Linked DNA regions of Neodiprion lecontei. The main gene of each other region encodes a partner of the protein of the gene in region 2 in a complex. Links are inferred from orthologs where the notes say so. Each region holds a gene or a part of one and is shown on either strand. Other genes may lie near its edges.

Evidence for each region.
Region 1: nucleoprotein TPR (region 2) and nuclear pore complex protein Nup85 share a complex: the UniProt entries of both Drosophila melanogaster proteins name them as parts of the nuclear pore complex. The link is inferred for Neodiprion lecontei from reciprocal best matches to the Drosophila melanogaster genes Mgtor and Nup75.
Region 3: nucleoprotein TPR (region 2) and nuclear pore complex protein Nup160 homolog share a complex: the UniProt entries of both Drosophila melanogaster proteins name them as parts of the nuclear pore complex. The link is inferred for Neodiprion lecontei from reciprocal best matches to the Drosophila melanogaster genes Mgtor and Nup160.
Region 4: nucleoprotein TPR (region 2) and nuclear pore complex protein Nup205 share a complex: the UniProt entries of both Drosophila melanogaster proteins name them as parts of the nuclear pore complex. The link is inferred for Neodiprion lecontei from reciprocal best matches to the Drosophila melanogaster genes Mgtor and Nup205.

The regions. Positions count from the first base shown.
Region 1 is NC_060264.1:6,092,357-6,099,540, reverse strand, and holds nuclear pore complex protein Nup85, read right to left. Parts: upstream 5,598-7,184; 5' UTR 5,388-5,597; coding exon 5,358-5,387; intron 5,253-5,357; coding exon 5,147-5,252; intron 5,017-5,146; coding exon 4,675-5,016; intron 4,578-4,674; coding exon 4,198-4,577; intron 4,119-4,197; coding exon 3,799-4,118; intron 3,683-3,798; coding exon 3,465-3,682; intron 3,381-3,464; coding exon 3,153-3,380; intron 3,071-3,152; coding exon 2,971-3,070; intron 2,889-2,970; coding exon 2,678-2,888; 3' UTR 2,132-2,677; intron 1,922-2,131; exon of another isoform or gene 1,701-1,921; intron 1,657-1,700; exon of another isoform or gene 1,344-1,656; intron 1,077-1,343; exon of another isoform or gene 758-1,076; coding exon of another isoform or gene 662-757; intron 581-661; downstream 1-580. Other genes in the region: GTP-binding protein 1, read right to left, coding at 106-286, 469-580, 662-757. UniProt on the Drosophila melanogaster protein: Component of the nuclear pore complex (NPC) that seems to be required for NPC assembly and maintenance. Required for nuclear import of phosphorylated Mad via importin msk.
Region 2 is NC_060260.1:31,011,535-31,016,479, forward strand, and holds the start of nucleoprotein TPR, read right to left. Parts: upstream 3,021-4,945; 5' UTR 2,742-3,020; coding exon 2,570-2,741; intron 2,460-2,569; coding exon 2,297-2,459; intron 2,058-2,296; coding exon 1,836-2,057; intron 1,730-1,835; coding exon 1,170-1,729; intron 962-1,169; coding exon 570-961; intron 407-569; coding exon 150-406; intron 44-149; coding exon 1-43. Other genes in the region: uncharacterized protein LOC107221997, read left to right, coding at 3,990-4,945. UniProt on the Drosophila melanogaster protein: Component of the nuclear pore complex (NPC), a complex required for the trafficking across the nuclear envelope. Functions as a scaffolding element in the nuclear phase of the NPC.
Region 3 is NC_060263.1:38,145,713-38,153,682, reverse strand, and holds the start of nuclear pore complex protein Nup160 homolog, read right to left. Parts: upstream 6,008-7,970; 5' UTR 5,870-6,007; coding exon 5,788-5,869; intron 5,473-5,787; coding exon 5,159-5,472; intron 5,066-5,158; coding exon 4,972-5,065; intron 4,900-4,971; coding exon 4,367-4,899; intron 4,222-4,366; coding exon 3,418-4,221; intron 3,280-3,417; coding exon 2,849-3,279; intron 2,692-2,848; coding exon 2,470-2,691; intron 2,350-2,469; coding exon 1,667-2,349; intron 1,581-1,666; coding exon 1,236-1,580; intron 1,135-1,235; coding exon 952-1,134; intron 841-951; coding exon 674-840; intron 547-673; coding exon 313-546; intron 151-312; coding exon 49-150; 3' UTR 47-48; exon of another isoform or gene 1-46. Other genes in the region: solute carrier family 35 member E3, read left to right, coding at 6,204-6,695, 6,782-6,934, 7,020-7,102, 7,233-7,371, 7,446-7,514. UniProt on the Drosophila melanogaster protein: Functions as a component of the nuclear pore complex (NPC). Involved in poly(A)+ RNA transport. Required for nuclear import of Mad. May play a role in double strand break DNA repair. Essential for nephrocyte development.
Region 4 is NC_060261.1:2,748,773-2,756,497, reverse strand, and holds the start of nuclear pore complex protein Nup205, read right to left. Parts: upstream 6,003-7,725; 5' UTR 5,865-6,002; coding exon 5,855-5,864; intron 5,576-5,854; coding exon 5,412-5,575; intron 5,328-5,411; coding exon 4,911-5,327; intron 4,841-4,910; coding exon 4,549-4,840; intron 4,452-4,548; coding exon 3,729-4,451; intron 3,645-3,728; coding exon 396-3,644; intron 312-395; coding exon 61-311; intron 1-60. Other genes in the region: PAN2-PAN3 deadenylation complex subunit PAN3, read left to right, coding at 6,791-6,883. UniProt on the Drosophila melanogaster protein: Plays a role in the nuclear pore complex (NPC) assembly and maintenance, but with limited role in NPC permeability. Required for specific nuclear import pathways such as Mad import.

The DNA.
Region 1 (7,184 bases), on a different chromosome or scaffold from region 2:
ATCGACAGAGAAATAAGTTTGATTTACTGCAAAATGACAGGAACTCTGTTGGCATTACATAAGAATGATTTTAAATGAGGAGAAGTGAGGCAACTGTTTTTATACCTTATTTCAAGAAAATCTTGTTGGTCTAAGCGTCTTCTGACCAAATATTGTCCTATGAGTCCCAGATCCACTTTTCGTTGCCTCAGCAGAACACAGTCTGCTTCCAAAGTTGCTGCCAGAGACTGCAGAGTGGCTACAGATGCATCGTACTCATCCTCTTTCAGACCATTCTCAGAACCATCTACTCGGAAAAACAGTATATAGTTCAGAGAAAGAAGAGATGTTTTTCGGGGCGCACTAACAATGTTTCTAGTATTCTTACTACCGACAACCATATTTTCTTTTTAAAAATGGCCTGAGAGTATTTATGAAGACCTCTATGAAAGTAAAGGAAGCAGTAAACAGAAATTTTCTAAGACGCACCTTCCCCAACACCGATGTCAAATATCGTCTCACTTCCGCCATCCTGAATTCTTTCTCTTAGTCGTCTCAGTAGCAATTCGTACTGATCCTCTGTTGGACTAACAAGGACATCCTGCAAGTTTGAGCAAAATTAACTCTGTACGACATCAAGATATCTTGAATTTGAACATTTTCTTTATACAAGGTAAAATACCTTTCCCCTGATGCTAGCATAGTCCATTGCAGAAGTAGGAAAACTTTCCTTTGCCAGTATGGGCATTGTTGAAGTAGTCGATGTTGCCGACGTCATATTGGATGTCAGTAACTCTGACGAGTTTGGTGCTTATTAATTTTTATTATTCTTAATTTATTGTGAAACACGTTTTTCTTTGATTAAACACTTTTTCAATTCCCAACAGCAGTAGAATTTCCTAATATGCGAACGCCTATGCCAAATATTTTCCAATATTTAAATCCAAAGAGCCTTCGGTAAAAAACCATTGAGGGCACACTCATTACTATCTTAACAGGAATCGCTAAATGATGAAAGAGCTCTGTAAGTTGTCATCCCCACTGGAGTTTGCGTCAGATATACTTTTCAATTTAATTTGAAATTTCAATTGTTATGTCTGTAATGAAACACAAAAATGTCGGTGAAAATTTTTTTTACTTATATCAGTGATCAATTTGATATGGTTGATTGTTTTTATTATTATTCGAATTCTTTACGAGTATCGTGTTATGATGTAAACATTTCTTTCAAGTATAGTTAGCATTGTGTGTGATGTCATTACACCACTTCCTACAGTACAATACGTGACCGATAAGAAAGGTGATATCTTGTGGAATGAATATTTGAAACGTCAGTGAAAAGTTACATCATGTAGTTTTTATACCTGCATTTTTATGGCAGAGTTTGGTCCACTCGTTGGTCTCCACACACATTAAAATACTACTTACGGAATTTGTTAATCGAGAACACTAGGAAATAAATTGATATCGAAAATATGTACATCAGGTATTGTGGTCATTGTAAAATTTTTATTATTGAATGAGACTACTACCATCACTGATATAACATGTTGCAAACCAGTAATCAAAGTTATTAATTTTCGTGAAATGTCTAAACTTACATCAACATTATTTCACATATTCATATCTATGCCTATTTCTATAAATAAACATATTGTAGGGCTGCCAATGATCACCTATTCATGAAATACAAAACGGTGTAAAAATAAACAAGTGTTCACCTGTCATTATTATATGTTGTTAAAATTTTGTAATACATAAGCTTCTCTATAACGAAAAAGTAAACACTCACAAGAATTATCGAAAGTTAACAGAAAGTTGGCAGAATTATTTCATGTTGTCGGATTGGAGGCTGTCACTGCACATGAAGTTTGTTGCTAGGTACACATCAGGTGATTACACAAATTTGCAGCATGTCGTGCAACTACTTAAAAAGTCTTCGTTCACGGAGCCACGATGGCGCCACATTGCAGTTTTTTAACCAATGATGTCACTTTCCCGATCGGCCACCTTGCGCCGGAAAAATGAAACCATATATCTGGTATAAATTACGTATTAAATAATTCAAATTCAAAAAAAAATAAGTAAGTAATTAATACTTCGCTGAATATAGTTGCAGAAAACTTTCGTTTGAGTTAAACGTGTTTTTTACGTAAGAGCAAACTTCAGAGCTTCATACGGTTACTTCGTACATCTAACCAAAATAACCTTGTATAGTACAGCTTCACGTACTAGTTGCTTTTTGTGAATTTACATTAATTTTGGATTAATTATGATGCGGTTGACCTCAGCCAAGCTACTGAATACACATCCACACAACATAACGGTGCATGAGGATATACAGACAGGGAATGGTATCATTTTTAACATTTCTTTAATTAAAATTCGATGAAATAATGTTACAAAACTATATCTTACAAATGAACTAAAATACTGGAACATCCAGGGAGAGTACCTATTTCGCACGTGCATTTATTGAGGCTTATCTCAAAAATGGCAGTGATTGAGCTCTCAGCTGTATAGACGGCAAATATCCGATATTGTTTTCCTTTGACCTTTGTTTAAAGAGTCAAATACCTGCTTTCAACAAATGAATATCTGACTACTCAGACCGAATTTAATGATAAAATTTATTTAGAACCGAGTTTTCGACATAAGTTGTCAGGTTTCATTTTCGATTTGTCGTTACGAATATATATCAATGATCCCCTAAGCAGCCTTCTATATTCAACGCTCGTGCCAAGTTTCTTGCCGCTGCTAGTCGGAAAAGGTCGATTTTGTCTTGAAATTTCGGATCGTTGCCGTGTTCTTCAACAGTTTGTAGTAGTTCGAAAGTATCCTTAGATGAGAGTACAGCATCCTCTGCTTCCAGAAGCGGAATTGCATCCGTTAGAAGAATCGACCAGAAGCTGAAACGATTTGCAAATTTATTAATCACATAAACACTTTTCCGTTAGGGGGATTAGAAATTAGTCAAGTTGAGTCACTTACTATTTCGGAGTTAAATTAGAGACCAGTAACGAGACCAGCAAGGCAGCAGCATCTTTAAATTCACCTAGTCCATACGTTTGATGAAATTCACAATACTTTCCTGAAACAGGACGAAATTTTGATATTTGGCTTTCGATGTAGTTTTCGAAAACTTTGATAGACAATCAACTGTTGTACAGTACTATACAAACCAAGAAACGTAAGTCTGTCGCTGATCAGCATACAGCTTCCTAAATTCTCTAGAAGGTCTTGACACTCGAGTTCTCCGTGTTTGGCATAGTTTTTTAGAAATTGGTCCGCTATAAAAGTAGCAAACGCACCATCTTGTGCCTTTAATGCCCAGGCAAGTGCATTTCCTAGCCGTCCTTGTCTAATACACTTCATTCCTTGTATTTTGGAAACGCTGGTTACTAAAATTATATCATGAAAGATTATTCAATTTATTGAGGTCTGAAATAATGCGAAAATTGCGAGTTTATTTTCTTTATACGTACCAACATTGGTCATATGCTTTTGACGAGCAATCTCGATAATTTTATTCACTCGTGCTTCACTACCCAGTGGAATGGACTCTAACAATGCCTGCAATCTAGTTAATCCTTGAGCAGGACAGTGTTCAAAGTAGCTAGCGCCACACTGCCACAGTGAATGATGACCCATCAAAGTACTGGCATAGTCTAATATCAATGATTCATGAAGCTGTGAGGTAACACTGAAAAAACGTAATTTTATTTTACCATTGGATTTCACGTACCTTGTATGAAAATCACCAAATACAAGTATCCTGGAAAATAAATGTAATCCCATAAGAAATCAAGTCAAACTTACTTTATTTGATGCTTGTCTATGATGTCTAGCCTTCCACAGTTGTACAACAAGTTGATCAGATGTGCTGCAAACCATCCATTGTCGCTCATATGCTGAATTTCCTTGATTACTTGATGCAAATCACTTTCCATTAGAGCTAAGATTACATGATCCAAATACCTGCCTGCACGCCACTTTTCTGCAATATGATTTGCATGTCTAGCAAGTTCTGGCTGTTTGCTACAGGGCGCAGAGTAAAATAAACGTGCAGCCAATAACTCATACCATGCTTCCGTGTATTTTGAAAACTCCCAAAGAACAAGTTCTTCGCCAACGATAAGCTGTTGATAAAAAAAAACACAAAAATAAAAACTAATGTTCTTATCTGTGCTTCCAGCCGGAGACAAATTGAAATCTCACCCTCATTAGTAACTCTAAATTTCGGTCTGTAGAAAATGTTTTGCTTTCAATTTGCGAAGAGAGGTCAAATTGCCAATGCTTCCATCTCATGTTAAATTCGTTTACAGAATATCCCCCATATACATTGTAAACAGGCATTGTCCTTATAGCATTTTCAGCAGTGCCAAAAGCAGGATTATCTGCCTTGCTGTGCATAGCTAACAATGAACGAACGGTATCGAGTTTACCGTGCAAAGCGCATCCTATCGCTGCTTCCCAGTACTGTACATTATCCAAATCGGCAGCAAGACTTTTCTTTGCAAGTATTTTAGAGGCCATTAATTCTCTAGATGGAAAGTGAAATCTCACCCACTCCAACAGCTGTGGAAGTATCACATCTCCTACAAAGAAATTAGGGCATGTATGTAGTTATGTCATAAATATTAATTGGAAAATAAAAAAAGTTTGAATTAATTTTGACTGCGCTATTAGCAATACCTGGGACGACATTAACATAAAGGATCTCTGTCAGGTGCCAAACACACTCGACATTGTAAAAAATAGTCAAGTAATTTTCAAAAGTCGGTTTTTTGTCTGGCGTTGACTTTTCAACAACATCTTGCAGATTTTCTACACAGGCTCTTAATATGGACCTGTAGTGTTTGCTGTACTTCAAAAGCTCAGGTCTAAGGTCTTCAGTGGAATTTTTAATCTTCTGTATCGCAAGAAACACTCCATTGCTCTCATTGACTAGTTTGCGAAGCGCCGGCTCGAACAAAATCACTTCTTGTCGTAAGCAATGAACTTTAACCTCACAGGGTGCAAGACTGCTTGGAACATCTGCAAACGAGCCGATGGAAATATTAATTAGCATTTTCACTATAGACAAAAAATAAACCGTATACATCTGAGTCATCGATGTTGCAGAAAACAGTTTCTGTGCGGTACCCGCTAAAAAACGTAACCTCACCTTTCGAGTGTGCATTAATATGCTTGTACGCGTGAACTCCGATTTTATTTTGGCCGATCCAGGTCGCAGCCAGGCCTGCTCTTCTGCAAACGTCGTCTGGTATAGCCTGTAAGTAATATATTTGACAAAATAGCAATATATATCAGGATTGTTCCGTGAACAAAACCCGGTGTAAGTCCGCATGGGCCAATAAGTATATTGAGGTGCTTACAATTATTTGAGCGTTGCTGACTTCTGCCATGACTGAACGTGAGCTTTAGTTCACCGGTTGTTTTTGAATTTAGTACATAAATTCATCAACGAAATCGGTAACCTAATTGTTACTCACGATCATCTTTTCACAACTCAAAACGAATTTTAACGTTCAAAGCAGGAAGGTAACCATTCCGGTTTCACTGACATCTATGATTTATCGGACAAATTGAAAGTTTATAACTGTTTTACCGACGGATGACATAAGGCCTTGAATGAGTGTATCGCATCTGATTTAAATAAGATGACAAGAACGCAATAAAGTTCGTCAACAACAGTAACAATGGTTTGTAGTTTGTCAGTTTTGCGATAGTATCGAGTATAATAGCCGAGTATCGCAATTGGTGCGTTCTTATCAGTCAGTATAGAGTTTCGTAAGAGCCGTGATAGCTCTTTACGTAACGGTAATTCTAATACAATCAGAACTCTGAGCCGGCTCGGTATCAGCTCATTCGCTCTTTGCATGCCCGTGCGCTAGCGACTGACTGATATACTGGAAAATGGCTACCACCTCAGCTGTAACACGACTTCTGTTCGGCCGCCGATTGCCACAAGTTGTTAGAAATTTACCCCAGCTTACATCAACCAAGTTTTATTCATGTGAGTAACTAAATCGTCGATTATCAGACATTTGATAACATTCCTAACCCTTACAGTTATAGACCTATAATTGAATGCTGTGAAGTGAGTTGATTATTTGTGGGGACGTGGAACGATAATAATTCATAAGATTTTCACTCACGCTGTCGAAAAAAAAAAGATTAAACCACTAATCATTGTCAGACATTTCTTACTGGTCCAAACTTTAAGATGTGTAGTAATTGCTAACTAATTTCTTATTCTGAAGACGTTCAAACTAACAATAAGCATCAGGCTGTGTGCATATGATCTGCACATGTTTACGCGATTTAATCAATTGATTCGTCGTAGTTATAAAATCTTTACAATCGTAGAAATAGTGCTGCAAGTAGCAGTTACACTGAATATTGCTTAATCTGTCTTATGCAGGTTTCTACCCGGCATTTAAAAGTTCTTTCAAAGTTCGGAATTCACTCTAAACGAATAAAGCAATATTATGGAAGCCATATTCCAATCATGACTCGTCTTATTCTTGTTCATGTGTATGCAATACGTATGTCACCTTGTTAATTTCAATATTATGCCTTGTCAGGTCAATTAAGATAACCAATGTGGTAAGACTGCGTGATTTACAATGTAGTATAAAATTTGACAAAGCCGCAGTAGAAATCCTTATGGAGTTGTAAAGATACATCTGATTCTGTATTATCTATTGATTTTCAAGTGTACAAGTCACATTATTTCTAACATTGACCGAAGTTTCCAATCATAGCTTCAACCAACTCGAAAGATTAGTCGGAAACAACGATTCTGATTAGAATTGACCAATCACATTACAACCGGCCCTGAACCTCTGAATCTACTCGAAACTCGCTTACGAGGTGTAATGAACTCTGTGAAAAGATAACAAAACATTAACTATAATACACGGGTGTAATCAAAAGCTGGTTGAAAGATTCATGCCCTTGCAGTTAGCCGACGAGGGAGCGAGTTTATGAGAGACATTGCGATCGTTTAAACTAATTGCTTTTATTGTTAGCGAGCTCGGGTCGCCGCGCGCAGTCGAAAATTTGGCTGCAGCCGCTGCAGCGTCGGTGCGTGCAGAGTGCGACTTTATCGAGCGATCGCCGCGCGACCTTTCGAGCTCCTGGTTGAAGGCTGCGATCGTAGTAGAGCTGCGGCGTCGCCGAGCAAACGGACGTGTAAC
Region 2 (4,945 bases):
TCGGTCCTGCGCCGCTTGCATGTCAGATAGTTGTTCTACATACCTGAAATGAGACAATATTTACTTTCGTATACCATTAAATGGGTTCCTTACGTCAAATTACACAGTGGGGTGTAATACATCATTGACTTGCTGTGAAAGTAATGTACCTATCAAGTTTTTCTTTCATCTCCCCAGAATTAATTTCATCAGTTGCCTTTTCAATTTCTTCTTGTCTTGCAGATAATGTTCTGACAATTGATAACAATTTTTGATTGTTTTCCTGTAATTCTTCAATATCTCTAAAGGTAACCAACTTTTTGCTGATAATTTGAGAAGATGCTAGGTCGTCAGACTCCATTATTGTGGAAGAGAGGACTGTCGAACCTCCACGACTCTCCTGGACTTCTTTAAGAAGGAAACAGACCTGGAATGATGAAAAATAACTCTACTAACATGATCATACGACTGTACAGGTATTCCTATGAGATATTTGTCACATGATAATTTTTTTTTTTTTTTGTACTGAGTAGTGTTTGAGACATAACAAATGTAAATGAAGAAATCTAAATTAAAATATATAGAAATACCTGTCTAGCAAGATCCGCAAGCTCTGTCTTTAGCCGTTTATTTTCCCGAACATGGTGGTTAGCAATGCGCGAAGCCTCATCTGCAGATTCTTGCAAACGATGATTTTCAGCAAGAAGGTCATCAAGACGCGAAGTGAGCATTGTAACATTGGCAACTGCGGCTTCGTAATCGTCACGCTGTTGTTGCAGTACCGGTGCCTTATCTTCAAGTTCACGGAGTATTATATTCATTTGTGACTTTAATCGCTCATTTTCTTCTTTCTCAATTGCCAGTTCGTTGGTAGCATCAACCAATTGGGTATAAATTTGGGTCAGGCTGGAGCCTTTTTTCAACAGCCTACTTGCTACTGCTGCTGTTGGAGCCAGTTGCTCCACTGCGTGGTCTAACATTTCTATGGAGCACATAGTAAATAATTAAGTCAAAACGTTCTTAGCATGCTTACCTTTAATATATCATATGGATGTCTGGTAATTCATCGAGCAACTTTCATGGATTAAGCTGATCAAGAAAAAGTATTCAAAAGTATGATCTAAACGCAATTGTTTTCACATCTAGCCTTAAATTTGATCGAAATTAGATATCCAACTTTAAAACTATACCTTGTTTGGCGTCCTTCAGTAAATCATTCGCTCGTTCCAGCTCTTTTACAAGCTCCTCGATTTTTTGTGACTTTTCAGCGACCTCTTCATCAATTCGTATTTGTAGATCATTGTGCTGTGTTTCAAGCACACCGTACTGCTCTGTGGCTTGTTCAAGCAGGGATTGTAGTTCTTTAACAGCTGAACTAAATTCTTCAGCCTTGGCATTAGCTTCATCTGCCATTCCCTTATAAAGATCAGCTAGTCTAGTTTGAGCGTTAACTTCCTCACGATAAGAAGCATGCATTGAAAGCTCATGAGCTCTTTGTTCTTCTAATTTTTGTGCCATTTCATCACAGCGTTTGATGATGAGGGAATTTCCTTCGCGGAGTTTACTAATCTCATCATTAGCTATTCGCAGTTCTTCCTCACGCTGTGAAAGTTGGGTTTCTGTCAACAGTGATCTCTTGGACGATTCAGTACGAACATTTTGCAGTTCTCCAGTGCGCCTTGATAGCTCTTCTTCTAAATTGGCCATCTGTTGAGATAAAAGGGTTCGCTCTTTCTCCAGACGCTGTTCCCTGTGAATAAATGTATTTACAAATTTCCAACAAGGATTTATATTTCTCTGTTAGAATACTTGAAACCTATGGATAACTTGAGTTAACAAATACAATATCTACTGACTTGTAATCTAAAGACATCTCGCGACTGCGGATCTCTTCAGTGTCAGCCAGAGCCTGACATTTGGCAGTCACCGCTGTCTGCAGCTGAGTACTGAGCATTTGCAGCTCGGCATGTGTACGCTCAAGTTCTGCATCTCGACGTTCAACCTGTAGTTGTAATGCATCTCTTTCATCTGTGGCTACATCCCGTTGACGTCTCAGCTCTCCGTTATCCTTTTCTAATCTATATAAAATGGATCAGTAACAGAATACTAAAATTTAGATGCGAAATATCTATTGTTTCAAAGGAATTCGAAGTCAATTAATTTGTTAGGCAACTCGTTATAGCCATTTTCTTTCACAGAAAAAACAACATATGCACATATATGTACTACCTGGAATTTAAGAAATGAATTGCCTGATCGTACATTTCTTGAAATGTAAACCTAGAGCTAGGAAGAAGCACACTAAAGATATTTGTACCTTCTAAGTGATTCTTGTAATCTTGTTGCTTCAGACCTAGTTTCATCAACTTTGGTTTGAAGTTCATTTGTATATTTGTTGGCCAGTTCCAGTTTGCCTTTACATTCTTCCAAATCCAGTTTCTGCTCATTGTAATCCTTTTGTAGAGTCTCTAATTTTTGTTCTGGCAGATGAAGAAAGCAAAATTGGATGGTTAAACAGACATCAGTGAACAGTTTGAAGGGAGTTTTGAAACGGTAAATATCGGAGGCAGAAAAGTAACGCTAATCTTACCGAGATTTTTTCTGGCAGTCTCAAAAACAGCTTTAGCAGTGATAAATTCTTCGAACCGTTCATCGAAATACGATTTCAACTTTTCGCTGACACCCTTTGGAATATGTGTAAGTTCTTCTTCATTCAATATGCTGCCTAGCACGTTGTGTGGGTTTTCTTCTATTGTTTCCATATCGTTTTTGCCGATAATTCACAAATTTTAATATGTATCCGCGTCTCTTTTTCGTGCAGATTCTACAATCTTCACCGGCGTTTGCGGTTGTCGGTTGATTTGTGAAGAAAATGGTGCCAGATATACAGATTTAGGATTATTACCAACTTAAAATCATCGGCCGTCACGGTAGCATAACGGTGGGTAAAAGTAAAAAGTAACGTTATTGGTTAGTTCGTTGAGAACAGGTCTGACATTGGTCGACTTCCGTAATTATGCAGCCAGTGCTACCGTGATTGCTGCAGTCTTAGACCATATACTACTGGAGTTAGCTACCCATGCCGTCAAACTCGCAAATACTATGGCCGTGGCGATGAGAGAGCGCGACATATATCCACGTGTTACCCTGGATACTCCGTTTCTCTCACTCTGCATTTGATTGGCTGAGAGGAAACGCATTGGCCAACCAGGTTGTGAAGCGAGGGAGATAGGTAGTACATGGCATTGATAAACTATCTCACTCTCTCACTATACTTTCAGTACACGCGAGGCTACCTTGAGTAGTATATGCTATAAGGCTGCAGTTCACAAACAACTGTATCTCGAAGTAAAGGAAAAGATCAATGCTAGATGAGCATAAGCTACTCAAAAGCTACTGATAACAGGATACCAATTTTGAGTTTCACTCGCTCTATCAGATTGTAGGGTAGCCCTTCCATAGCCTCATTCTGCACGGATTTTCATCGCTGACAGCAATTTTCAGGTTAGGTATATACGCAATCGGAATTATACATTCCCGGGTTTTTTCGAGTCTGGGTAAGCAGCGGGAGATCGATGTCGCTGTCTGTCGTCCAGCCAACAGTTGGCGTTCCCGATAAGTTCTGTTAGGGGTTCTGTGCTCCGAAAACTACCGACCACGTGGATTAATACGTTGTCAATTGCGCCGCAGGTAATGCGGAAAATGTTTTTAAATATGGATACACATGTCGGAATAAAATTGTTAATTCATCGCCAATGTTATCTTTAATGATACTTTATTAAATTCCAGCACTTTACAGTTGCATTTCATTTCTAATATTCCGAGCAGACTGCTTGTTTAACCTCGAATAATGTGTAACAGGATTGAAGTAGCGTGCTATTTCGTTTCGATTTTTCTACCTTGACGACTATTATTTAAAAATTGGTTATGTCGTTACAAGTTGATATGAATTATATGTAATTTCAGGTACCCTTCGGCTGTGTTGTTTCTTTGCTTGAAGATTATCCAACATGACTAGATTTACCAGAGCCAAGGGCTCCAAAGCATCCAATGAACGTGTTCCTGATGAGGCTACACCATGGAGTATAATGAAAATGCAGCTTGAAGACAGTCAAACTGCATCCAAAGCTGTCACGAAAAAGCCAAAAACTGCTACTGAGTTACTTGCAGAGAAGGATAACCGATTATATTATGATACATTTGGGAATGTGAATCATGAATGGGCAGCATTTGACAACGTTCCAGAGTTACAATCCAAGAAAAATAAAATTGACAAATTACACGATATCAAAGGCAGCAAAAACAATAAAAATCAGAAGGCTGTTGAGGTACAGGGCTTAAATGATAACTCTTTTAAAGATCAAGTTCTTGCAATTCCAGTGAAAATAAAAAACAAAAAGCAGAGTAACATTCAAGCTAGTAGTGATGAGATCAAAAATTCTAGTACTACTGGTCAAGTTAAACCAAAATCAGCTAAGAAAAAAAAACTTAATGTAACTGGAAACGAAACAGAAATGGCTGCAAAGATAACTGATATGTCAAAAAGTTCAGACATAAAGAACAAAGCTATCAATTCAACTCCTGGTGATACTCTGCTAGAGGCCAAGTCTAATTCTGTTGCGGTAGAAGACCTGTGTTCGAAATATAAGCAATGTAAGAAATGGAAAAAGAAATCCAAGAAAGCGAACCCTGATTCTGATATTGGTCAAGCGGCAATCGATTTGTTGCAGCAAAATCAGAAAGCTGAGTTATTGAACAGTGATTGTGCAGTGAAAGATAGCATTACTGAAGCCCAGGAAGAAGGATGTTCAGAAAAGTTGAGTAAACGCCAAAAAAGAAATAAAAAAAAACAGAAGAAAATAACTAGCACCAATCTTGAGAACCAAAATCAAGCTACTACTGTAGACACACAGAAGAATCATAGTGCTGAAGGCTTTGATGTACAAGGAAATGAATGGAGTAATCA
Region 3 (7,970 bases), on a different chromosome or scaffold from region 2:
TACTGATCATCATTGTTATCCTACAATGTTCCGAAAATATACTTACTGTTAAACAACTCGACTGTTTATTTTCATTTGTATCATATCTTCTGAAACTCTGATAACTGTTTCGATGTAGTAGTCTAAGGTTTCTTTCAATTCTTCGTAGCTCTGAAATGAAAAGTAAAAGCTTACTATCAATAACAATAGTATACTTCAGCTCTACCAACAGCTGTGATCAAGTAACTCTAAGATAATAGGAGAAGATCGGAAAACCGCTGAAGGTAGAAAAAACTATTTTTGTAAATATTTTCCAACAAAATTGGTTTCTACCTCTATATACATGGGATCTGTTTTGCTAGCATGTTCAAGTTCTAGTAGAAGCAATTCTAATGTGTTCAATGGAAGCCACACAGCAGGTGACGTAGCTACCAGTGGTGTTGTCAAACCAAAATACTCTTTCCCTCTACCCAACACAGCACCAATGTATTCAAGAGCTATTGCATTCGCTTCTAAAAGTCGACCGGAATTTAAAATAAGTCTCAGAATTTCTGCCGCATTGCGTTCCTGAAAATAAAAATATAGGATATGAACTTAATTCGCTATTAATATAGTTAGGTCCATTTTTTCTGCAGTTTATCACTGCGAAAAGAATAATAGTCAATGAGTAAAAACACTTCGGAAGAGAAATTACTTTGTAAGAAGACATTAGCCACTGTGGAAGAAAGGCACCGTGATGCAGTAGATTTTTCGTAACAGCTTTGTGCAATTCACTGCTATTATCCCGTTCGTGTTTCAATGTGAGATGCTCCAATAATCTCCAAGCAATATTTGTGACATTCGAATCTGATACGCCTTTATCTGTAAGAAATATATGCATTCCTTGAAATTTGTCGACCTTATACACTCAATGTATAATTCCATACACAAAAAGACATTGTGAAATTAGCAAACAAATAAATTTTAACTTACCAAAAATTTCGTTATGTATTAGCCAATCCCAAGCGTCAATGTCTTCTTGATAGCTCAGAGTTACGCATTGTGAGGCCAGATTTTCAAGTACAGAAGTTTTCGATAAACTAAATTGGTCACACAAGTGTAAAGCAGTCGTGTACAAACCAACATTGGATAAAATTGCGACAAGTTCGGACGGCCCTATGAAATTGTATAAGAACAATTAATCAAATATTCAACCGTGGACTATTCATTGAGTATATCCAAAGAAAGTCGATGTACATATTTTTAAGAAAACTCACCAGCACGTGCGATTGTTTGTAACTCCGGACTTAATTTGGCTAATTTTAATCTTGCTGTAACGATGTAATACTCATCTTTGATCTCTTTCAATTCTAACACTTCTACTTGTTTCTTCACTTTATAATGCAAAACTTCCCTGCCATCTATACTCCGTTTTTTTACGGGATCAGTTTCCCCCGATTGCCTTTGATCAGCCACAGGGCGCACAATCCATCTATATCTTTCCTTTACAAGATGCAGTGCATTGATACAAGCCAACAAACATCGAGACTGTTTTAGTATAATTGCAGGAGAATGGGATTCCTGTCCTAGTCGCATGCCTTGTTCGTACATCACTGAAGCAGCTGAAAAAATATGTATACATTACGAAATGAAATGATGCACAAATGGGAGCAAGAATGTATTTTCACTTGATACTAATGAATCGTACCTTTTCGCATGTTTCCCTTATTTATATGGAAGCTATAGAGAAAATTATAGTAATTATTTTCCATAAGATCCATACTCCGTGCCCTGCCTTCAATAATTCTTTCCAGATCTTCGTACATCTCGACATAAGGAAATGTAACTAATTCCAGTAATTTGTTCCTCTCAAATAATGTTGCTACTAGTTGCCTCAAGCAGTCAACTTTTCGGGAAGGATCTGGGTTAGAATTAAGCCAATGATATGCTTCTGTATGATGTTCGAGATTCAGATGTTGTCTAAATACGATTGAATGGAGCGTGGGCAAATTTGGGTTGTCATCTTCAGCTATTGTGATTGCAGTTTCTGCCAGCTCTATTATACAATCTGCGGCATTATGATGTTCAAACAGCTGGATCACCTTCAAGAAGTAATTAACTCGCATGCTACTTTCAGACACTATACAGGCATCTAGTAAGGTGCTGGCCAAAAATGTGTCTGTCAAAATTCCGTTGCACGCTCCAAGGAATTGATCACAGGCCTTGTGTGTTTCACCCATTTCAAGCAAAGACACTGCCATGATAAATTTGCGAGAGGCACTGTTCCATTCGCACCAAGTACTTAACATTCTAACGTACTCTTGAACAAGCAAATGCTGACAGCTTGATAAAAGCCATTCGGGAAAAATAAAATTTCCTGATATTGGCCAACTGTTTTGAAAAGTCAAGGAAAAAGAACTAACGTGATTCATTGGATTTCATTAATGTATCATATGTTTCATAGTGTGATTAGAAGTTATTTTCTCAGAAAACTCTTTGTTGAAAGGATACACGAACTGAGCCATCAGAGTAACATGTGTTAGCATACTTTCATGCCATGGTACAAGGCCACACGTATCAGTTATCGTATGAGCCATCAAAGTGTGGGCATGTTTTGCACCTCCGCTATGCATAAACAATTCTAAAAGAGACAATGATCTCTGTTGTCTCTGAACAATATTTACTCCGGAATCTGAAAGCTTTAAAAGGCTTAGATGCTGAATACTGGTGTCTCTGAAATTCAAATTGAAATATATTAATTTCACACATGGTTTCATAAATGCTAGGTACGAATGGATTGGATGATGTAGCATAGAAGAAATTGACTTTGAAGCAAACGAAAAGACTAGATTCTGCTAGAATCTCTAGTTACATAAAAATTTGCACTTACAGTAAAGTTTGAGTTGGTGACGAACTGGCGGTTGATTCACAAATCCACATAACTGCATAATACGCTTGTGTTAGAACAACCGTTCTAGGTGCCAGTGAAGAATTTATGGAGTGTAAGGACCTTGGATCAAATGCTTCAGGCCGCTTCAAAACTAATTGTTGTAGGATCAGCAGATTTCTACAGATTGAAAATCTGAGCTGAGTAATTTGCGATACGCTTTCAGTTATGGCTGACATTCCTAACTGGCTGCTGAACAAGTGACTGACATTCAGCAGGATTCGAGAGGCTTCCTGCACCTCATCGAGCTGCAATTTACTTGGTTGACCAAGATCATAAGTCAGTGCTTCTACCAGCATAGCCATCGCTTGTGAGATGTCATTGGTGTTCTCTATTTTACGATTTAATTCCGATTGAAAATCGTAATCGGATAACTGGAATTAAACAAATGGCTTAGGTGACGTTATACTTAAGAACTTCGCAGAGTAAGTCTCAATTCTCTTCACTTGGTAAAGATAATAAATAAAATGGGCTTTAGGTAGTGTTACAAAAGCTTAAATAGAACTACTCACAGGGTCTTCAGTCTCTAGTACTTGTTTGCATAACAAATCTTCAATAATAATGTCTGGACTGCGTAAATGATATAGTTCGCGTTCAATTCCACTTTTCAAATCCTCAGTCAATTGATTGTCGAGCAAAACTAATGCGGACATCAATGTGATTAAATTTTGACAAGTATCTTCATCTTGGGACAAGACTGGTGTAGTACTGAATCTTTGCACATATGATTTGTCATTGCATAACATTAAATGTTCAAGCGCCTCCATTGGCCGTAACAGGGAAAACGCTGACTTTTTCAGCAAAACTGCCCCATATACATTTGGTAATAACAACAACCCAACAGGTTTTGTACCATTGGCGTAGTATTGAATTACACAGGAATAGAATTTGGACCAGCAGCGATTGGCTATCTCTAAATAGTCATCATCTGAAAGCTCGTAATCCATTACTTCTGCTTGAATTTGAGCTTCTACTGCCATACACACACGTTCCTTCAGAACTGCAGGAGACAGCGACGTGTCTGTTATAATGTTAGAGCGTCGATAAATGCTCAAGGCACGAGTTATGTCCGCTAACGGAAATTGACCAGGATGAAAAATATAGCCAATGTATGCCTGCCTTGGATCTGTTCCAGGATCACTCACGATGTAATCTCTGTCTGGTGGTTGCACTAGCACTGCAGTTTCCCATTCAGAGTTTACTTGTGCACCATTCAATGGTAGCCTTGCATGTGTCACGGCTACTGTGTCCATGTCTGTCGTTCGCCACACTGCCCACAGTCGAGTTGGTGTGAAGGAAAAATCGACCAAATGTTGCTACACAATAACGATTAGGGTGTTATGTTTAAATGGCAATAATGAATTGGAAAAACTAACTAATTCACCAATAGATGTTCAAGTGGCGCGTGAAATTCTTCATCTTGAAAAAGTTTGAAATTTGCAACAACGATTGTATACTTACATCTGGCGCAAATAAAGTACAAATCCTGACAAATTTGAAGAGTCCAGCATCCTGCAGTGGTTTAAGGATGCTAAACTCGCATCCAGTTCCAAATTTTAAAAATGTTCCCAAATAAAGTTCGTTGTCATTGACTCCAACTGTTTTTTTCAAAATGTGTCCTTGCACTCCCTGCAAAGGAACTCTGCTGTCCATGGCAATATCTGCAACTGCCACACACTGGGCTTTACTGCAGGCCCACATCCTGACATTTCCTTCCCGACATAGAGCGAAAAGGTACATTTCGTGACCATACGAATGTAGGACAAGCGACATTGGGACGTGTCCTTCAGAATTACGGCCTCTAAAAGCAGTCGCGATGCCGGACAGAAATCGGGGAACAATTGAATCTTGTTTCAATTCAGTTGTATGAGTAAGCCCAGTCATTGTATCAAGACGGATTAATAAAATGTTTCCAGTGCTGTATGCGAGCGCAAACAATGCTTCTTCTTGAGGTAAAGTCAGCCATGAGGCTGCTGCATGTGGCACTGATGTGTCTAGAATAGAGAAACATTTCAAATGAATATTTTCAAACATTATAATATTGGTAAGTACAAATGTCAGCTTACTCGTTGTCCCTGTATTGGCATTAACAATATTTTTCGATGCATCGTTAAGGATTGATGGAACACTAAGGTCCGAGTGAGAGCCCAATACATGTTCCTGCAAAGGATATGAAAATGAAAAAAACTGAAGATTTTAAGGTATCAGAAAAAGAAGATTAAAATTAAGTGTGTGACAAAATATTGGTCCTACCTGTCGATGTATTTTATCTGGATGCGGAAAAGTGAGTTTGTGAACACTGGATACAGTGACCACTAATATCACAACAGAGTTAACTGTCTCATGTATAGAAATTCCATCCAAGAGTGGCCGGTCCGTAAATTTGTATCTTACTTTACAGTTGGCAAGATTCACATCTAGACTGTGCTCGACAAGTTCAAGAACGTCGTGGGATATGCGCCAGTAGATGAAACGATTTCTTGTAAAATGCTTAGTGCTGTCTTTGTAAGAGTATCCGCCCGCTCTCTCAGGGACTTTTATATCTTGTAAAGTACTTTGACTACCGCCTGTAATAAGCGAAGAGTTACTGAATAGTATTGAACCAGAAAAAAAAATTAAGGGTTGTGACAGTTATACTGTACGAATTTTTATTGAATGCAATAATGCTCATCATCAGAGTATCAACAATAGTAATGAGGTATAACATTTGTTGGGACGTAAAACATAAAAGGAAAAATACGTGTCCGTATAAATAGGAGATAAACGGAGTGTTTGAATGTCATACATGTCTTATCGAGCGTAATTATTAATCGGTTCATACAAGGAATGCGAAAAATAATTCTTCATCGGAAGTTTGTGTGATAGAGGTTAGGTTATCTCACCAGCATTTATCACGATTTCTTTCCACTTCTCCGGTAATGTTTGATCGGGTATAACTTCCCTGTAACCAAGAGGGAACTCCATGTTGTCGGTTGCTATAAGTTTCTTTCAGATATTAACCATATTAAGGAATAATATTTGAAAAACCTTTAGCCCAATCTTCATGCCCAAAAAAGACGCTTTTAGTTGCTAAAATTTCCGCGCGCGGGTTTTCAGATCAATTGGCGCGCAGCTCGAGGGGAGTTTCGTCGTCATGGAAACCCCGGTAGATGGCAGCAGTGTTCGACAAAACATATACAATTGAATACATAACCCTAACTTGGATGAAGTAAAGATGCTCAACCTAACCTGTAACCGGTGACGTAAATGTCAGAGAATATTTATCGCGCCATAAAGATCTCAATAATAGTCTGAGAAAATGAACAAAAGAGTATTAACATTTCTCTGCTTAGTACTAAATATATTTTTTTCAATACTTATTGTATTGTTAAATAAAATGGTGTACGTGAGGATTGGATTTCCAAATGTCACCCTGTCCATGATACACTTTGCAATAACATTTCTTGGGCTAATCATTTGTGAAAAATTGGATGTATTTTGTATAAAAGATGTTGCCATTAAAGAAATGGTACCTATCGCCCTAACTTTCTGTGGGTTTGTTGTCCTTACTAATCTGAGTCTGGAACACAACACGATCGGCACTTATCAAGTTACTAAAATGCTTACAACCCCCTGCGTCGTTGTTATGCAGGCAATATGTTATAAAAAGAAATTCGGTTTGCTTGTTAAACTAACATTAATACCCATCATAGCTGGAGTTGTCATCAACTTTTATTACGACATTAGGTTTAATATTCTTGGGACTATTTACGCTACTCTAGGTGTTATTGTTACATCTCTGTATCAAGTTGTAAGTAGGATAACTCTCACTGCTTTATGATGAATTCCGTAACCTGTTTCATACTTGAAGCTCATGGTTTTGCACATTTTTTCCAGTGGGTCAGCAGAAAGCAAAAGGAATTCCAAATGGATCCTATGCAGCTCCTTTATTATCAAGCACCGTTATCTGCAGCAATGCTGTTTGTGATCGTACCATTTCTGGAACCCATTGGTAACACCCTCCAGCATAGCTGGACATTTACAGATATTGTAAGTTGAAAGACACTTTGACTACTTTTCAATACTAAAGTTTAAACATTTGCTAACTAAAGGGATAATTTTTTTATTTCCACAGCTGATGGTGCTGCTATCGAGCGTCGTAGCATTTTTTGTGAACTTAACATCGTACTGGATAATAGGATACACATCACCATTAACGTATCCTTATTCAAACAAGGAATTGTTATTTTAAATGAAATTTTTTAATTCGATGAAAAATTATTATCTACCCAATTTATTTGCCATGCGCACAGCAATTCTCAATATGTTCTTACATAAAGTTTTCCAGTTATAATATGGTTGGACATTCAAAATTTTGCCTTCTTTTACTTGGTGGCGCTATTATATTCCACGAATCACTTGCACTGAATCAGGCTATCGGAATTACTCTGACGTTGATTGGAATTGTATTATATGCTCGAGTCAAGGCAAGTATGTGTTTTCACCGTGCTGGTAAATTTACGGTGTGAAATTTAATCAAATATGGTCTTTTTGTTTACAGATGAAAGACGGCATATCGAATATTTCACGTTTGACATTGGAAGAAGGCAAGCCACTTTATAAGACGTAGCACTTGAACAGAAAAATAATAAAAAGAAAATTGTGATACAATGTGCCGATTTTATTATTTATTTAATATTTCCCTTACTGAAACCTAAGAATATTGAACAAATAGATCTTTTATGATGATGATATAACAGAAGTTTCAAAATATGTCCAATCTGTTCTGAATTCTTTGAATACAATTTTCCCCACCTAGGACCAATCAAATTTTTTTTCCTTCACCCTATTTTCTCAAATATATTTAAACTGGGTGAAAAAAAGTGTGTTCTGTTCGCCAATAGCATTAAAATTAAAAATTATTGCAAAAGCAGGTCGAAGTCATACCTAGGGCTGAACACTGAGTGCAGTATTCAAAGAAATGTAATGAAACTGTCAAATTATATTGATTTATTAGCTTTTATCCCAGGTAAATCGGACCCGACGGTTTAGCTGCAATTTGGGCTTATATACTGAATGTAGGAAG
Region 4 (7,725 bases), on a different chromosome or scaffold from region 2:
TTTGAACACAGTTCAATCTTCAATCAATGTAAATGAGTTGCGTCGGTAAGTTTGACATACTTGATTACGAGTGTACAGCATAACGTTGGCAGCAATTTGTATTGCGCACGAATGTTGTTGGGTAGCTTCCATTTGTTGATGTAGAGGTACGACGGGAGGCAGTTGTGGCTGAAATCTGGAGACCATGGAGAGCATCAAACGTTGGAGCCTATAAAGATGGGCTCGCAATTCTCTCATGCCTGTACTATCTTCAGATTTGTGTTCGTTAGAGTTGGCTCTGGCCAATTCCTCGTCAACAAGTTTATACATGTCTGAAAAAGAAGAGAATTAAATATTTGCATAGAATAAAATAGAAATAAAATCATGAAAAAATCAATTGAATGAGAGATGCCTACCAATGTTGGCAGACCTTGCGATGACCCCGGTGAGACTGGCGACTTCTTTGAGGAACAGAACATTAGAATGAGGTGATGCATTCCGTAAAACCATTTCAACGGTATCTCGATGACTCTGTAAAAATCCGCAAACTTGTATGGCACAAGACTGATTTTCCGTTCCAAGGGTAGTCAGCAAAGCATCGCACAAATAAAGTGCAGGTAAAAAGATTTGCTGATACCGCTGACCTATGGAAGGCACAAAGGATATATCTCCACCTTCAAAGCCCACATTTACGTCAGGATGCTGATCGAAAACACACATGCTTGATAAGCAAGATAGGACTTTATTTTCCAGAAGACATTCGGCACCCAGTCTGGTCGACGCCATTCTGCAGAGCGTTGCCATTTTTGATTCGTATAAATACAGGGGCCGCAGAGTGAGTGGATCTGGTTGAAGCATTGTTCGCAATAAATTGTCAGAATCCAGAAGACTGTCTACCATGTGTTTAAGGTACCCTCTGCTAGCCAGATATGTGACCCACGTATTGCTGCAATCGAATTCTAAAATTTTGTCGAGGCACGATAATGACAGCATTTTACAGACGTCGTGTCCACCGGAACAATCGTGGGACAATATATCCATCAACTTGTTACCGTAACTACTGATCACTTGTATCGTCGCATATCGATGCGAACGCTCCTGTAGCGGCGTACTTCTATAATACGAACTATCTAACTGACTAACATACATGGAATCCATGTTGGTCACAACTTCCGATCTTTCCAAACTGACTACACAGAGGAAATTGAGAAGTGCCCCATAAAGATGGGTTCGAACTTTTTGTGAGGATACACCAGAATTTAAGATCCATTGAAGAATATGACTAAGGATAATCTTCATCATTGTTGTATTTGCAGCGGAAGACGGTAGCAGCTCATCGTCAGATTGCATGGAGAAGCTATTACGAAGGTTTACTAGTAGTACGAGCACGGTTCCAGATACAAGTGTTTTGATTTCGTTCAAAGCTTCGCAAGACGTCATCTTCTGCAGTAAATCATGTGACAAATTTAGCAGAAGATTTTGCCTCTGAGCAGCGGGAAGTTGCTGGTTCGTTGCGACAGAGAATAAAATTTCAGTTGTTTGACACCAGCCCTCGACGAACTTCACAGTAGCGTAAGAAAGGGTTTTCGTTTGATTTCGTTTCAAGGCGTATGCAAGGATAGATTGCAGCTCCTGTTGCACAAGCTTACGCTGAGTCGCAGTTGCGCTAGTTTGCGTACCAGCCAATTCTTCTGTTATAAGATTGTGAAGTTTTCTGATATCTATAAGCTGGGGACTTCCACCAAGTGGAACTGGAATGCTGCAGCGTCCCAACACCATTTCAATTTGAGACGGATCAAAGTATTCCCAGGACTTTGGAGGATCTAGATTTAACTGGAAATCGATATAGTGAAGTAGATCCATCAGGAGTTTTTGGGATGGCACAATTTGATCTCTGTCATGGATTAGATTGCCGACTAGTCTTTGAATCAGGGAGTTCTGAAGGCTGCCACCAGCGACGCGCAATTCAATTGCCGATATTTTTAGCAGCCAGGACATGCAGGCAAGCTCAGTCGCTCTGTTCGCTCCCTGGAATGGCAGCTTGGAAAGATGACGTTGTACGAAATCTTGATTGGTGGCTGTCCGAAGGAACCGAAGTACGGAAACAGAGGTTTTGTTATTTGAAGCCAGTATGTGAAGGAACCAGTAGCAAGCCTCTGTAATCTTGTCACGGCCACGCTCCAACGATAATTCCAATATCCCGAGTATAGAGTGCAGACAAGTCCTCGGAAAGCCTAGTATTCCAGGTTGTTGAATTGCAGTTTTTCTTATGTCCTTAGTGATGTCGAATCCAAGTAGGTAATGAGCTATGTTAGGCGCAGGGCGTGTTATGCTCTGCATCAAGAGGGACAAAATCCTGCCCTTGCAATTACCGCTTCGTTTTTCATTCCCAATTTCTTCCTCAGACTCAAAGTTTTCGTCAGAATCCAGACACTCTACGAAACCATGCCTGATCGTCGTTGCCAACGAAGGAGTAGACGTGAATGTAGAAAGTAACTCTGAATCTGCTCCAGGTTCGTTGGCGACGCCTTGAACAATGCCAACTGACACAAAGGCGTGTTGAGTGAGCCATGAGTTGTAGGATATGTATTTAACGATGTTAATCATGTGGTCTGGTTTTCCCGTGCGAGGATTTACACCTAGCAAAAGGCGGGATAGCCCTGTTAAAATTCTGTTGGTTGAGCTGGCTGCAGCCAATTGAACCATGTAATGATATTGGGCTGCCAATCCATGCTCCAATATCTGCAAACAGTGCAAAGTGCTGCTTTCGAGGCTTGTTTTACCAGGAAAATCGTCGTAAGTATCCAAAAGATGGCATCCTTCGTCAAGTATGAGCAGAATGACGTGTAGAAACTCGGAATTTGAGTGTAGCAACGTTATCAAATGGTGTCCAGGAGGAGGATTGACGACAGTCGATTCACCGCCTTGTAGTTCTATTTTACATCCGATAAAGTCTTCGATAGTTGGCTCATACTGTGTTATCAATTTAATGAATATTTTCAGACAGGCATCGGACACGTCCCACTTTTCCCCAGGATTTTTATACGACCGTGTGTTGAACCGCAAAAATACGGAATTTATTATGAAATGTAAGTACGGATCGAAGCCTGGATTTCTTAGGCCAACACCCAGAAGTCGAGGTATCGGAAAATCAGTAAGGACATCTAGAAGCTCCAACATTGCTCTGGTCAAAGGAAATTCCTCGTTTCTAGATTCAATTTCTTCTAATTCCGTTTGAATTCCTCTCGGTTGGTAGCTGCTGGTCGTTGGTACGGTACTCAGTATTTGCGCAGCTTCCAAACTTTGCCATATGGTAGATGAACTCTCCGGAGATTTTGCCAGAGCTGCGAGCGTTCTGACTAACGCACCTTTTAATGGAATCGGCATAGCACAGCCCACCAAACCAATAATAGAAGGCAAGACGTTCCAGCCTGGATGCTCGCATATCGCTATTCGAGAAACTTCATCGTAGTAAGCAACAACCCGAACGACTAGAAGCACAGCTTCCAAGCCTTTGACCTCGTGAGGTGTGATACCTTTGGGATGATTTCTTTGACGGTATACCGTGTCTTGTGAAGGTGGGAGTTCTTGTCGCAAATTAAAATAGTAGCGACTCAAGGAGTTGAAGAAATGATCCCAGGAAATGGTCGTTGCCCCCGAAGGTCCTGAAAAAATTAAATGCAGTAATAACACAAGATTACCTCTTATTAATAGACTTTCAAATCAAGTTATCAAGCCGTACAGCTTACCATTAAGTTTCAGAAAGTTGAATGCTTGCCTAGCCGCTGGTAGGGAAGAAGCAAGTGATGCTAGCATTCTTAGGTAGGGTCCAAATAGCCCGCTGGGCAATACTTCTCCGGCGACTCTGACAAATTTGAACAGAGCAACTTGCCTTGGAGGTAATCGGCTCGCATGCAAAGTGCTCGGCATATGAGAGGAGTCGGAATGTTGACACCAATAATCCATTGCAAGGTTCAAATTGAGGGGATCCTTTTTGTACAGTTCAGCGACAGACAGCATGAGGTACTCAAAATGGTTGTCAAGGTTCATGGGAGGTTCGATGCCTTCTTGTTGATAGGCTTGAACGATACGCATTGATTCGTCGGCTCTATTTCTCAACTCTTTCACCTTCAAAGGCATGAGTAGTATAAAATCAGAGATGAGTGTGTGAATGTAACGAACATAGAATTCCTCATTGTGGATGTGAGAGCTTTGAAGTAGAACTTCAGCCAAAAAATGAAAAGCCTTGTTTGCCAGAGCAGCTTCCACCAAAATTTCATCCTCTTCGGTGATATTTTGTGTAGGACACAGATTGGGTGCAGATTTTATAGTTGCTATGGCAATAGCTAGCGCAAACTGAATCAAACCACGAAGTCCGGCACTTTCCCAATTTACATTACCAGAAGTTAGCTCGGTTACGAGCTGTGGCAACATGTCAGGATCGTCAATAAGCGGCATTGCTTTAACAATTGCTGAAATTTGAAAAAAAAAAGAAAGTAAATCATCGTTCGACAGTCAAGGAATAATATGCAATTATCTGGATAAGGCTACTTATTATCGTAGACATACTTTCACCGTCCTCTCTGGTGTGAAGTGAGCTGAGATTTATAGAATTGAGCAAAGCCATAATCAATGCCAACGTGACTTTATCAGGGCCACCAGTCCCATCCTCAGCCTCCGGATGACGATTGTGAAGTAACGACAAAAGTCTGTGAGTGATGTGACTGGGCAAAGCTGACTGAGCTGACCAAAGGTATAAAATATCGGCAAGATCCTGCCTGGCACCGTTATAAAGACGCATGACCATGTGATGATGCTTGGCTCCTCCTAAGCCTCTGTTTTGCTGCAACAGTTCTTGTTCCTAAAAGAAGAATCTACTTATAATAGCGCCAAGTTAAATCTTGTGCTATTACCAAATACAAATTTTTTACCTTCGTCGGATCCATATCCTCCAAAAGGTTCAGGATCCTGTCCAGCAGGCCGTCTTCCTGCATTTTGTTGGTATACTCCGTAATTTGCTTGGTAAGCGTAACGGGTGTGTCGAGAACCCAAGTATGACCATTTCTGGCTTGAACCAAAGTCCTCAATGTTGAGGTGAGAGCTTTCTTCCCGTCATAGTACAGAAGGACAGCAGTTAGGCCTCGTGTCAATCCAGGATGATGCGGCATTTGAAGTTGAGCAGTACAGAGTAAGTCAAGAGCCATAAATTCATTTAGTTCGTACATGTCGGATAATATAATTGTCTCGTCAACCAATTCTTTGGACAAAACCTGGTGACCTAGTCCAGGCAGAGTTATACCCTCCGTCACTGCATTTTTAATTTCCTCACGACTCTTTGCATTCTTTGCCTAGAATGAGGATATGATAAACTTAGCACATGGCAATCAAGGTCTCCAAGTCGCAGCTACTACATGTTGAAATATTATGCTTACAGGATTGCTTAGGAGATTTAGAAAATTCTGTCGGTGATTGCGAAGCGCTTCCATAAATTCATGGTATTGTGGATCGTGGGAACTGGGTGCAGAGGTAATATATTGATCGACGAGACTCTGGAGTTCCTTGTAAGGAGTCCACATGTCCTCCGTACTTGTCTTTTCTGTAATAGTAAATGGTGTCGATGTGACAAAACTTAACCTAGGAAAATTCAAATTCACGCTAAAACGAATTATCAACCGAAACGTGAATTGTATCACTGAACAAGCATACAAAATATGAAGGTAAATACAACCACGTATTTTGACAGACAATTGATCATAAACGTTGTTGCATTTGTACCGGTGATGAAGTTGGGTAAAACTAGGTTATGTCACGTTACAACCGGGAGAAGAGTTCCAGTAATTAATGTAGAATAAGTTAGACGCATACGCAGACCTACCTTCAGTCATCCTTGCGCTATTTAAACTAAACTCAGAAGGTCAAATTCAACAATCACTGAAGAAAGAGACAAACACTCATTCGTGAATTGGCGGTTGGCGCTGATTTGTAAAACCGCGTGAACATGGCTGCGTTCATGATACATGGTCGCGAGCGAGCAGTGGTCGCCAACTTAAAAAAGGTAAATAATTGATCAATGCCACCCACTTAAAAAAAAAAGAACCTTCTTCATCAATGGAACTCGGTTGGGTCCAAGCGTCATTGGATTTCACCACTACGTTACTCAATCCGATCGCTAAATGCAGTTTGGATCAAATTTATAACAAAAAAATGCGCCAAACTTCAACCAAATATATATTTGTAGCGCTTTTTTGATTTATGTTGCTATTTTCGTTGGCCACTCGACGAAAAAACGTCATTACTCGATGTGTTCCGAGACTCGTCAATGCGAATAATAGGCGATAAATGCAACGATTTATCAGCTCCACGCAATCAAAAACGATGATTCGTTCGATTTTAAATTTCCAAAATGAAAAATAACGATCGACAAGCTCGTGGTTGAATATAAAATTTGATAAAAGATACCGGAAATGGCCGAGGTCTAAATTGTATTTCGAAAAATAAAGTATATACGTATGCGAAGCACGACTTCCGGAAGGACAGCTGCGATCGAAGTAAGAGCAGCAAGTTGTCCGTGAGTGTAGACAAGTGTAGCATAAAAACACAGTGAGATCGGTATCACGGAGTACGCTTTCACCTTTGTCTGCGGGAAGGAAAAATGTTTTGAACGGTCAGTACTAAAGTATATTAATCTAAGCTTGAAAGAATCTCATTTATTTGTTTTTTTTAATAACCCAAACGCCGTCCGTCGCAAAGCGTCTGGAGCGTCTGTTTTATTTTCGCGCCGTCCTCAGACGCGACGTCACTGACAACTCGGATGGGTTATGTTGGTCCACCATATCTTCGATGTTTTTATAGACTTCGGTTCTACATTTTGGAAAAAATTTTCGCCTCGCGTCGCGTTTTTGAGGTGCTCAGTTATGTTTAAACTTTTACAATTTTTTTTCGTAAAAAGACGAACTTTTTTTTAACGTTGTTGAAAACCAAAATTAACCACTTTTGTCGCGATTCTGTGTGTGCATTGTCAAAATCAGCTGCTTCATTGTTAGTTTATTACTACATTGTTCGAATCAAATCCTGCTGCATTTTCTTGACCCCCCTCAATTTTTAGAGGCAACAAGTATATCACACACTTGTGTACATATTCTCCATGTTGTTGTCTCTAGTCTGATATAGCGAAGGCTAGAATTACACACTAGGTTCAAAAGTTCTGTGATTTATATTCTTTTTTCTTACTTTTCCTTAACTTCAATAGAATACAAATTCCATTTATTAATGCTTTTTCTACCCTGAACGATATTCTATTTTCAGGAAAACCATCAACTTTCACTGTTGCCTTATGTTAAATTCAAGCATCGATGTTTTCGATAACACAGGTTCTACTACTGTACCTTTAATCGTCTCACCTTTACGCGCAACAATTACTGAATATAAAACAAATTTGCATGTTTTTATATTTCTCTTTCTGCACCGTTCTGAACAGATTCGTTTGGTTTTTTTTATTCAACGATTAATTAAGTCACAAAGTAGACAAACTTGTTCTAATGATCACCGTTCATTTTCAGGGTTTACAAGTCGAACATATTGGAAAAAAATAGAAGCAGCACTGTTAAAGAATAAAAAAATAAAAAATAAAAAAAAAGAACAAAAAAAAAACGAAAAGAGAAACTTGAAATTATCCTGAGAAATTTTAGAAAAATGGAGTAAAAGAAAGACTGGATATGAGATTAAATAACTTAGGTGATAATAAAC